Lonchura striata: one gene and its partners. The protein of the gene in region 1 interacts with the protein of each later gene in a pairwise test. Links are inferred from orthologs where the notes say so. Each region holds a gene or a part of one and is shown in the gene's direction. Other genes may lie near its edges.

Region 1 (3,743 bases):
CCTTTGTCCCCATCCCCGTCCCTAAACCCCCAGCTCCATCCCAGACACCATGGTGGCAGGGAGGCACAGCAGGGGACCAGGTCTGGCCCTGGCCCCTCCATCCTCTGGGGAGGGAATTGCCAGGGATGGAAGTGGCCATGGGAGCGGGGCTGGGTGTGCACATGTCCCAAAGCTCCTGTGCCCATCACACGTGGGTCCTGCTGGGGCTCCTGTGCCCATCACACCAGGGTCCTGCTGGGGCTCCTGTGCCCATCACACCAGGGTCCTGCTGGAGCTCCTGTGCCCACACACTGCCTGGGGGCTGCCAAGGCCTCTCATGTCCTTTGCAGCAGCCATACACTGCCCTGCCCAGCGTCAAGATGCCACCCTGGCACCAGGAGCCACCAGCAGGACTCAGCCACCACCCCCTGACACCATTGGTGACCCTGCGCCACCTCCCAGAGTGACGCCCCGACGCGCCCCTCCCTGTTTAAGGGCTGGAGCCAGAGGGAGGGAGGGAGGAAGATGCCACCCTAATTACATCCCTCCCCATTATCCTCGGCAGGTGCTCGCTGAGTCACGGCCACGCAGGTGCCGTAGCCTGGGCGGGTCAGGCGTCCCCATGGATCCACGAGGGGCGGCCACGCCACGCCAGCTGCCCCACACCCACCTTTGCTGAAGGTTTAGTGGGCTCTTCTCCCTACAGCTCATCCCAGGGGGGGGCAAAACCCAGTCCAGCTCCTCCCCTCACCCTGATGCTCTACTCCAAACCTTGCTGGCAGCCACCAACGCCCCTTTTTGTGCCTCCCTGCCCCACACGCACCAAGCGGTGTTCCCACCACCGCTCCCTCCCTTAACCCTCCCTCTATCCTTCGCCTCCTGGACCTCGACCTGCCTCCCCAAATCTCTCCGTCCCTCACGCTTACCCTTAGTCCTGCTCCACCCCGCACAGCCCCCGCAGCCTCCCCTGGCAGCACCCCCTTGCCGAGGGCCACCAGCCCACCCGGGCTCGCGTCCCCTTTAAGCCTCCCCAAGCTGGAATGCGAGAGGAGCATTTCAGCGCCCTGTGAGGTCAGATAAAGACACTATATTTATCTGCCTGGTAACCCGAGCCCTGAATTTCTGCGGTGGTGTTTTTACGTGGCCCCACAGCCCTCGGGCTCGGCCCCCTCCGGCCACTGCGCTCCCTCCCAGCGTGGAGGGGCTGAGCCGGGGGCGTCCTGTCCCCTGCGAAGGGTTCGGCTGCTGCCCATCTCCGGTGCCGGGGCAAGCTCCCCAAGGAGGCAGGACCAGCGCCGAGGGCATCACCGAATGCCTGGCTGGTCACCCCTCGCCGTGTCCTGAGCAGCCATCGGCCACCCGTGCCACATGCAGGTGAGTGCAGGTGGGGACACGGCCCCGGGGAGGGGGACACGGAGACAGACAAAACTGTCCCGCTCTTCCTGCAGCCGGATAACAGCCCGGGGGAGAGGTTTCTCTCCAGGGAGAAGGTTCTGAGTTCACACACAAAATCCTGCCTTTGAGCCACCCTCCCCGGCACCCTCCTCGTTCCCCAGCGTGGGCAGAGCCTCCTGCCCGAGGGTCCCTTCTTTTTTTTGGCACGCACAGACTCAAAGCAGTAATTCATGCCCTGGGTCTTACGTCAGGGTCCCCCGTGGGTTTGGGGTTTTGCTGCCTGGGGGGTGGCCCGGGAGCAGCAGCAGCAGGCTCTGCAGCAGGGTGGGGATGGGTCAGCAGCAGGGAGCGGGGCCAGGGTGGTGACTCCCGGCTGTGTGGGGTGAGCCTGGGGGTTCCTCAGGCCCAGGGCTGGCAGGGGAAGGACCCTGGCCAGGCTGGGTGAGTCACCTTGGGCAGGGCTTGTCACTTTGTGGGGTGGGAGTGGTGGGGAACGCAGGAGCCAGGCTGTGCCAGAGGCACTGCAGTCCCCATCTGTCGAAAGGGTCACTCCTGTCCCCTCCAGGGAGCAAACATTTTGTGGCTCATTCCCTCCAGGGCTGCTCGGGGTCAGCCTTCCTAGAGGGAAATGGATACCTGGAGGGATTCTGTGCCTTGTTTCCCTTGGGGAATGGGCAGGAGGCTGTCCCACCTCGCTCAGCTGGACACAGAGCCCCTCAGCCCCAAAGCACTTGTACTCTGGAGCGTGCAAAGTGCCTCACACAGGGTCCCCTCTCTGCCTCCACCACGGCAGAGTCCCGGGAGCCCCCACGTAACCTCAGGCCGGGACATTGTGTCTCAGGGGACGGCTCTGAGCCTGCGTAAGCGAGAAGCAGCTGTGCTGTGACACCTTGGATGGAGCCAGCGCTGTGTAAGCTGAGCCGAGCCCGCTCTGGGGCTCCGTGGCCACCGAGGGGGACAGCTGCCACCGGGCACGGGCAGGACAGAGGGGACACCTGCCACCGGGCACGGGCAGGACGGCAGCTGGGGACAGAGCAGGCCTCTGCTTTTCTGCCTCAGAGTGAGGGTTTTGCCTCCTCACTTTGAGCTGAGATTCCCAGGGAGGGCAGGGCAGGACTCCCCAGCGCCCCGAGCAGCCCCGTGTGTCCCGCTCCCGTGTGGTGGCACCGCTCCCGCCGGGCCCGTGAGCGCAGACCGGACATTCCTGTGCCTCAGCTTCCCCTGACAGCCCGGGAGGATGATGAGGGTGCAGGCGGCCTGACTCAGCCGTGCTGGCCCCAGGGCTTTGCCAGGCAGCAGGAAAGCTCAGCACAATGACGGGTAGGGAGGGGCCAGGCAGCCCAGGAAGCGCTGGGAGGAACCGGGGTTTTCTCACACCCCCTCAGCTCCTCTGGCTCCTGGCACGCTGTGCTCTCCCACCGCCCTGGGGTCCGCTCGGATGTGACATGGGGACCTGGAAGCACAGGCAAGCCTGGCAGATGTGACATTCCTCCATGGTAAGGCCTCTCTTCCCAAGGAATGGGATAGCTCCCGTGGCCGGGGCCGGTGCCCGCTCCTGACCCTGCATCCCTCCATCGGCTGCTCCGCATCCCCAGGGCAGGTGCTGCCCTGTGGAGACCTGTCCTGCTGCCAGGAGCACCTGCTGCCCTCCTGCTCCCAAACTTGTGCTCTCCTGGCACTGCCGGTGCCAGGAGAGAGCGTGGGCACCTGGCAGGGGATGATGGCATGGGGCTCTCCTGGCACTGTCCCAAGCCAAGATCATCTCTGCTGGCGACGAGGATGGGGAGTAGGGGCAGTCCCTGTGCCAGGCTGCTCCGTGCCCCAGCAGGGCAGGCAGCCAGGCATGTGCTCCCTGGGAGCCCAGGGGCTCCGTCACTCCCATCCTGGCACTCAATGCCAGTCTCCTGGCTGGGGTCCCACTCCCTGTCCGTGTCAAATGCCGACTGGCAGAGCCCCGCTCCTGGTGAGGGCGGCCGCAGCCAGGCTGGGAAGAGCCAGGTGTTCCGTGGCTCCCGTGCCCGGGAGCAGATTATTCACCCTTCAGCCTCCGTCCCCAAACAGGTCTGTGCGCTCCACCTCGCTGCTGCTTGTAAATATTTCCCTGTCCGCGGTGGGACGGCTGCTCCCTGGGCAGCAGCAGCAGCGGCCGGGACAGAGCCAGGCTGCCCGTGGGAGCCCACGGGGGCTGCTGCCGTCCCTCACCGCCCCTCCCTGAAGCATTCCCGGGGCGTTTCCACGCGGAGCCCGCGGGGCTCGGAGCAGGAGGCTGTGTCCCCGCAGGGCCAGGCAGGCGGTGACCCGCGGTGGCTCCTCGTGCCTCGTCCCCAAGCCCCGGTGGCACCCTCGGTGCTGCAAGGGACGGGCCAGGC
Region 2 (3,743 bases), on another chromosome or scaffold:
AGAGCACTCATGCTTGTGCTAACTGCAAACTGAAGGGGAAAAAAAATATACTATTTACACATCTGGAGGTTCTGAGTTGCAGCCAGGGTTGGGTGTCCCTCAGCCTCACCGAGGCAACCTCAGCCACAATGAATGTGCTGGAGCTTGCAGCACATTCCCGAAGCTTCTGCCAGGGCAGCTGTGGAGAAGCAGAGCCGGGGTGTTAAACACAGCCTTGGCAGGCTGCAGGGTGCAGATAGACCTGAGGGGAGCTGGATCTGAAAGGGCCCCGAAGGGGGGCCGGGAGATGCCCCGGGAGGGCCCAGGCTGTGCCCAAGGAGGGCTGAGACAGGGCTGAGAGGATGAGGTGGGGCCGAGCCCAGGCTGCTCCGGAGTAGGCCGGTCCCAGCTCCCCGCGCCCGCGGGGATGCTCGGAGCTGTCCGGGCATCCCTTCCCTGCCGTGATAGCCAGAGCTGTCCGGGCATCCCTTCCCTGCCGCGATGCCCGGAGCTGCATGGGCATCCCTTCCCTGCCGCGATGCCCGGAGCTGTCCGGGCATCCCTTCCCTGCCGTGATGGCCAGAGCTGTCCGGGCATCCCTTCCCTGCCGCGATGCCCGGAGCTGCCCGGGCATCACTGGGGCGAGGTCCTGCCCGTGCCGCTGAGGCCATCAGAGCAGTGAGGGAATGAATGCCTGCATCACTCCGGGCATCCCCTCCCGGCGGCGGTGCCTGGACCGCTCCGGGCGTCGCCTCCCCGCCGCGGTGTCTCCGCGCTCCGCCCCGTCCCCGCCCGGCGGCCGCACCGCCCGCCCTCCCCGCGCATAAATATCGAGGTGCGGGCGGTGCCCGCCGCAGAGCCGTCTCCGGAGCCCCCGCAGCCATGAGCTCGTACGGCTACGACCCGTTCTTCCCGTCCTACAAGCGGCGCTACGCGGACAGCCCGCGCATCCATGTGTCGGTGCGCAGCGGCGGCGGCTTCGGCTCGGCGCGCTCCGCGTACTCCAGCCTGTCCGCGCCCGTGTCCTCCGTGTCCGTGCGCCGCAGCTACGCCGCCTCCAGCGCCTCGGGCTCGCTGCTGCACTCGGTGGACAGCCTGGACCTGAGCCAGGTGGCCGCCATCAGCAACGACCTCAAGTCCATCCGCAGCCAGGAGCGAGCGCAGCTGCAGGACCTCAACGACCGCTTCGCCTGCTTCATCGAGCGCGTCCACGAGCTGGAGCAGCAGAACAAGGTGCTGGAGGCCGAGCTGCTGGTGCTGCGGCAGAAGCACGCCGAGCCCTCCCGCTTCCGCGCCCTCTACGAGCAGGAGATCCGCGAGCTGCGCTTGGCCGCGGAGGAGGCGACGAGCGAGAAGCAGGCGCTGCAGGGCGAGCGGGAGAGCCTGGAGGAGACGCTGCGCGGGCTGCAGGCGCGCTACGAGGAGGAGGTGCTGAGCCGCGAGGATGCGGAGGCGCGGCTGCTGGAGGTGCGCAAGGGCGCGGACGAGGCGGCGCTGGCGCGGGCGGAGCTGGAGAAGCGGGTGGACAGCCTGCTGGACGAGCTGGCCTTCCTCAAGAAGGTGCACGAGGAGGAGCTGGCCGAGCTGCAGGCGCAGATCCAGTACGCTCACCTGTCCGTGGAGATGGACGTGTCGGCCAAGCCCGACCTGTCGGCCGCGCTGCGCGACATCCGCGCGCAGTACGAGAAGCTGGCGGCGCGCAACATGCAGAACGCCGAGGAGTGGTTCCGCAGCCGCTTCACCGTGCTCAGCGAGAGCGCCGCCAAGAACACGGACGCCGTGCGAGCCGCCAAGGACGAGGTGTCCGAGAGCCGCCGCCTGCTCAAAGCCAAGACGCTGGAGATCGAGGCCACCCGCGGCATGAACGAGGCGCTGGAGAAGCAGCTGCAGGAGCTGGAGGAGAAGCAGAGCGCGGATATCTCCGCGCTGCAGGTGAGGGGGCGTGGGCTGGGATGGTCCCTCAGGGGACGAGGGTCGGGGTCCATCAGGGGAGGGGATGAGGGGGTGTGCAGGGCTCGGCAGGTCAGGAGAAGCTGGGGTTTGAAAGGTTGTGAGGGTGATGGGGTTTGGAAGGCTCTGCAGGTGAGGGGATGATGGGGTTTGGAAGGCTCTGCAGGTGAGGGGATGATGGGGTTTGAAAGGTTCTGAAGGTGAGGGGATGATGTGGTTTGGAAGGCTCTGCAGGTGAGGGGATAATGGGGTTTGAAAGGCTCTGCAGGCAAGGGGATGATGGGGTTTGAAAGGTTCTGAAGGTGCGAGGGTGATGAGGTTTGGAGGGCTCTGCAAGCGAGGGGATGATGGAGTTTGAAAGGCTCTGCAGGTCAGGAGAAGTTGGGGTTTGAAGGGTTCTGAAGATGCAAGGACGATGGGGTTTGCAGGACTCTGCAGGTGAGGGGATGATGGGGTTTGAAGGGTTCTGAAGATGCGAGGGTGATGGGGTTTGAAAGGCTCTGCAGGGGAGGGGGTGATGGGGTTTGCAGGGCTCTGCATGGGACAGGGCTCAGGTTTTACAGGGTTCTGCAGGTGAGGGGTTCCAAGGTTTTCTGGGTTCTGCAGGTGAGGGGTTTCAAGGTTTTCTGGGTTCTGCAGGTGAGGGGTTCCAAGGTTTTCTGGGCTCCGCAGATGAAGGAATGGACATTGGGGTGTGAAGGATTCTGGCGGTGAAGGGGTGGATGTTGGGGTTTGAAGAATTCCGCAGGTGAGGGGGGTCAGGGTTTGCTGGGCTCTGCAGGTGAAGGGATGAATGTTGGGCTTTGGAGGGATCTGCAGGTGAGGAGATGTCGGGGTTTGAAGGGTTTTGCAGGTGAGGGGGGTCAGGGTTTGCTGGTGAGGGGAGTCGTGGCTGCAGAGCCTCACAGATGAGGGGATCGGGTTTGGGGGCGTTGTCGGGGGCATCTCTGCAGATAAGGCATCCTGAAATCCCAGTGCAGAATGCCACAGAGCTATAAAGGAGGATGTGGTGTGGAAATACAGACCCAAATCGGGATCTGAATTATCAAAATCATCCCAGACATTAGTTCTGGTACTGCTTATCTAAAGTGTGAGCTGTTATAAAATCAGAATGCAAAATGCCCCTGATAAAGCTCAATATCCATGTGTCCATGTACTGATGCAGCCAGAACTATACCAGAAAATCATGGAATCCCAGAATATCCCGAGTTGGAAGGGACCCGCAAGAATTAACAATGGATATCCCTAAGCTAAAATTTAAAAAAAGTACATAAAGGTCAAAATCAAAATGAAACAAAATACAGATTTCACTGTGCTTTAGCACTTGGGTACCAGAAAATTTGGCTTTTTGTGTTAAATAGAACTGGAATAATGTGGGGTAGAAAACCTACCAAGAAGGTGTTAAATGATGCTGTTTGGCTGAGAGTGGGAGCTGTGCAGTTTCTGCCTGCTAGAGCAAGATTAAATTAAAAGGATTGGAGAAATTCCCTGTGATTATTGCTAGGCTTGAGAACAGAATTTTATGCTGTCAATGTTGTTCCATCCAACAGGATACAATCAACAAATTGGAGAATGAGCTGAGAACCACAAAGAGTGAGATGGCTCGGTACTTGAAGGAATATCAGGACCTGCTCAATGTGAAAATGGCCCTGGACATCGAAATTGCAGCTTATAGGTATGGTGGGGGATGTTTTAATGAGCCAGAACTCAGAGCACTTCCCATTCTCTTCAGGAGAATTCAGGTTATTTTTCATCGCCCCAGCAGAAATTTTCATAGGTCTGGGGCAGTTTAATCAGTTCCTCTCTATGTGCAC
Region 3 (3,743 bases), on another chromosome or scaffold:
CCCCCAGGCCGGGGCCGAGATCTCCACGGTGCACCCCGAGCAGTACGCCAAGCGCTTCCTCGACTTCATCACCAACATCTTCGCCTGAGGGGGCCCAGGGGCCCCTCCCGCGGGACCAAAACCCCAAAACCCCACGGCACGCCCTGCCCCCCCCCAGTGGGGCTTCACTGCTCAAGTGCCTTAACTCTGTGTGCGGGGGTCCCGGGGGGCTCTGGGGTGCCCCCCCCGCACAAGGGGCTCTGGGACCCCTCCCAAAGCTGGGGGGGGGGTCAAACACTACTTGCCCCATGGGGGGGTGAAAGGGACCCCCCGGTCATGGCTGCCCGGGTGGGGTGCAGCCCCCACCCCTCTTCCCAGGGAGGCTGGGGGACGCTCCCTGCCCCCCTCCGCGTGGGACCTGGGGGGCTCCACAGCTCCCCCCCTTTTTGCAGCTCCCGGGGGGCAGGGGAGGGGAGGACCCCGGCCTGGTGGGACCCCCGGGGGGGGCGGGACGGGACCCCCGCCCCCCATTTGTGGGAGTGTCGCGTGTCGTGTCCCCCCCCAACCCCGTTTGTGGGGCTCCTTCCCGTGCTCTGTACCGAGAAATAAATTATTGAACCGGCCCCGCGTCTGCCCGGTTCCCTGTGCCCCTCGGAGCCCCCTGCGCCCCCAACCCCGGCTCCCCCTTTCCTCTCTCCCTGCGCCCCCCAACCCCGGCTCCCCCTTTCCTTTCTCCCTGCGCCCCCCAACCCCTGCTCCCCCTTTCCTCTCTCCCTGCGCCCCCCAACCCCTGCTCCCCCTTTCCTTTCTCCCTGCGCCCCCCAACCCCGGCTCCCCCTTTCCCGGGGACCCCCAGTTCCCGGCTGCAGGCCACGCCCCCGCCGCTCTGGCCACGCCCCCAGACGCGTCGCCCCGCCCCCGTTGCCATGGTGATGCTCCGCCCCCGTTGCAATGGCGGCCCCGCCCCCGTTGCCATGGCGACGCTCCCCCGTTGCAATGGCGGCTCCGCCCCCGTTGCCATGACGACGCCCCGCCTCGGTTGCCATGGCGGTCCCTCTCCGCCCCGTTGCCATGGCGGCCCCGCCCCCGTTGCCATGGTAACGCTCCGCCCCCCGTTGCCATGGCGGCCCCGCCCCGCGCGGTCACGTGAGCCGCCGGACGCGCCCGCCATGCTGCGCCCGCCCGGGCCCGGTGGGTGCGGGACCGGGACCGGGACCCGGGACAGCGGCACCCCGGCTCCCCCCGGCTCCCCCCGGCTCCCCCCGGCCTCCCCGCCGCGCCCCCGCCCCGGCTCGGCCCCGCCATTCGCCCTGCCCGCGCCCCCGCCCCGGGCCTGCCTGCACCGCAGCGACCCCCGGGCCCCTCCCCGGGCCTGCCCGATCCCCTCGGGCCTTACCGGGACCCCCGAACCCCCCCGGGCCCTATCGGGACTCACCGGCTCCCCCTCGGGTCTCATCCGGACCTTCCCCGGGCCTGCCCCGGCCTCCGCGGGACCCCCGGGCCCGACCTGTCACCGCCGGGCCCGCCCGTCCGCCCCGGGACCCCCGGGCCTGCCGTGCCCCCCCCGGGACCCCCGGGCCTGCCCCGGGACCCCCGGGCCTGCCGTGCCCCCCCCGGGACCCCCGGGCCTGCCGTGCCCCCCCCGGGCCTCATCGGGACCCCCCAGCTCCCCCAGGCCTGTCCCCCCCATTCCGGGCCCATCCCCCCCCGCGTCCCCCGTGGAGCCCTCGGGGGGATGGGGGTCACCGGGGGTCACCGGGGGTCACCGGGGGGCACCGGGGGGACCGGGGGGCACCGGGGGCCGCGGCGCGTTCATCCCCCCCGGTCCGCGGGCCCCACCTCGCAGCGAGGGGAAAACGGGTCTGGGGGGGCCGGGGACCCCCGGAGCCGCTGCCCCCCCGAAGGGCTGGTGGGGGCTGGGGGTGCCGCGGGGTCCCCTGGGTGCTGCCGGGTCCCCTGGGTGCCGTGGGGTCCCCTGGGTGTCACGGGGGTCCCCTGGGTGCCGCGGGGTCCCCTGGGTGTCACGGGGGTCTCCTGGGTTCCGCGGGGTCCCCTGGGTGCTGTGGGGTCCTCTGGGTGCTGTGGGGTCCCCTGGGGACACGGGGGGTGGTGGTGCTGTTGTTTTTGTAGGGTGCCGTGCGGGGGGGGTCCAGAGGGGTTGAGGAGCCCCCCCAATTGGGTCTGGGGGTGGAGGGGCCCATCTGAGACCCCCCGTGTCCCCCCGTGTCCCCCCAGCCCCGGGCTCGTGGCTCTGCTGATCGCCTCGGCTCCTGTCCCCCATGGGCTCACCAGGTGGGTGTGGGGACCCCCCGCTCTGGGGACCCCCGGCCTGTGACCCCCTCCCCCCCGTGCCCTGGGGACCCCCTCCCCCCGGGCTGTGGGACCCCCTTGGAGCACCTTCACCCGTGGGACCCCCCCCCGGGTTCAGGGGTGCTGGGGACCCCCAGCCCTGGCCCCACCCTTGGGGGTGACGGTGTGGTGACACCCCCGGGGTGTCCCAGATTCGGGGCACGGGGACAGGTTTGACCCTTGAGGTGGCACCTTGGGGGGGTGAGCGTCCCCAGGGGGGCAGGGGGCTCTGGGACCCCTCAGGAGCCCCCCTGGGTGCCATGCCCGGGCTCAGGCAGCCTGGCAGGGTTTTGGGGGGGTTCACCTTCAGATTTCGCTGGGTTTTGGGGTGACCCGCAGTCCCCAGGCTCTGGGGTCTTGAAGTGCCCAGTGCCAGAGGATTTTGGGGGTCCATGCCCAAACTCAGGTTTGGGGGTGCATGCCCTGGCTCAGAGGGGTTTTGGGGGGCCCGTGCCCAGTCTCAGAGGGGTTTGGGGGGATCCATCCTCAGTGTCAGAAGTTTTGGGGGTCCGTGCTCAATCTCTGGGACTTTTTTGGGGTCGATATCCAGTCTCAGAGGGGTTTGGGAGGGTCCATGCCCAGTGTCAGAAGTTTTGGGGTCCTATGCTCAGACTCTGGGAGTTTTTTGGGGTCCATATCCGGTCTCACAGGATTCTGGGGCTCTGTACCCAGGCTCTGAAGGTCCCATGCCCAGATTTTGGGGTTCAAAGTGCCCCATGGCCAGCCCTTGATGGTTTTGGGGTGTCCCCCCTGGGTTTGTCCTGTCAAGAATGTTGGGGTGTGTGGGGGCCACCAGGTGATGGTGCCAGTGGGGTCCAGTCCCTGGGGGTTTTGGGGTCCCATGCCCAGTCCCTGGGGGTTTTGGGGGTCCCGTGCCCAGTCCCTGGGGGTTTTGGGGGTCCCATGCCCAGTCCCTGGCGGTTTTGGGGTCCAATCCCCAATCCCTGGCAGTTTTTGGGTCCCATGCCCAGTCCCCGGCAGTTTTGGGGTCCCGTGCCCAGTCCCTGGCACTTTTGGGGTCCCATGCCCAGTCCCCGGCAGTTTTGGGGTCCCGTGCCCAGTCCCCGGCAGTTTTGGGGGTCCTGTGCCCAGTCTCTGGCACTTTTGGGGTCCCATGCCCAGTCCCCGGCAGTTTTGGGGTCCCGTGCCCAGTCCCTGGCAGTTTTGGGGGTCCTGTGCCCAGTCCCTGGCACTTTTGGGGTCCCATGCCCAGTCCCCGGCAGTTTTGGGGGTCCTGTGCCCAGTCCCTGGCAGTTTTGGGGTCCCGTGCCCAGTCCCTGGCAGTTTTGGGGTCCCCCAGGGCCGTTCATGCTGTCAGGGATGTCGGGGTGCAGTGGGGCCGCCAGGTGATGGTGCAGGTGGGGCCCAGGCTCAGGAGGTTTTGGGGGTCCATCTCCATCCCCTGACGATTTGGG

What was found.
Region 2: the proteins of USP2 (region 1) and NEFL interact in binary tests that used the Homo sapiens proteins (3 or more experiments, as listed by UniProt). The two-hybrid records come from large-scale screens. The link is inferred for Lonchura striata from reciprocal best matches to the Homo sapiens genes USP2 and NEFL.
Region 3: the proteins of USP2 (region 1) and DTX3 interact in binary tests that used the Homo sapiens proteins (3 or more experiments, as listed by UniProt). The link is inferred for Lonchura striata from reciprocal best matches to the Homo sapiens genes USP2 and DTX3.

What each region holds. Positions count from the first base shown.
Region 1 is NC_134625.1:9,114,951-9,118,693, forward strand, and holds the start of USP2 (ubiquitin carboxyl-terminal hydrolase 2), read left to right. Parts: upstream 1-1,117; 5' UTR 1,118-1,353; intron 1,354-3,743. UniProt on the Homo sapiens protein: Hydrolase that deubiquitinates polyubiquitinated target proteins such as MDM2, MDM4 and CCND1. Isoform 1 and isoform 4 possess both ubiquitin-specific peptidase and isopeptidase activities.
Region 2 is NC_134634.1:2,828,425-2,832,167, forward strand, and holds the start of NEFL (neurofilament light polypeptide), read left to right. Parts: upstream 1-825; 5' UTR 826-861; coding exon 862-1,911; intron 1,912-3,479; coding exon 3,480-3,604; intron 3,605-3,743. UniProt on the Homo sapiens protein: Neurofilaments usually contain three intermediate filament proteins: NEFL, NEFM, and NEFH which are involved in the maintenance of neuronal caliber.
Region 3 is NC_134629.1:5,163,956-5,167,698, reverse strand, and holds the start of DTX3 (putative E3 ubiquitin-protein ligase DTX3), read left to right. Parts: upstream 1-1,124; 5' UTR 1,125-1,170; intron 1,171-2,203; exon of another isoform or gene 2,204-2,214; 5' UTR 2,215-2,258; coding exon 2,259-2,271; intron 2,272-3,743. Other genes in the region: PIP4K2C (phosphatidylinositol 5-phosphate 4-kinase type-2 gamma), read left to right, coding at 8-88. UniProt on the Homo sapiens protein: Regulator of Notch signaling, a signaling pathway involved in cell-cell communications that regulates a broad spectrum of cell-fate determinations.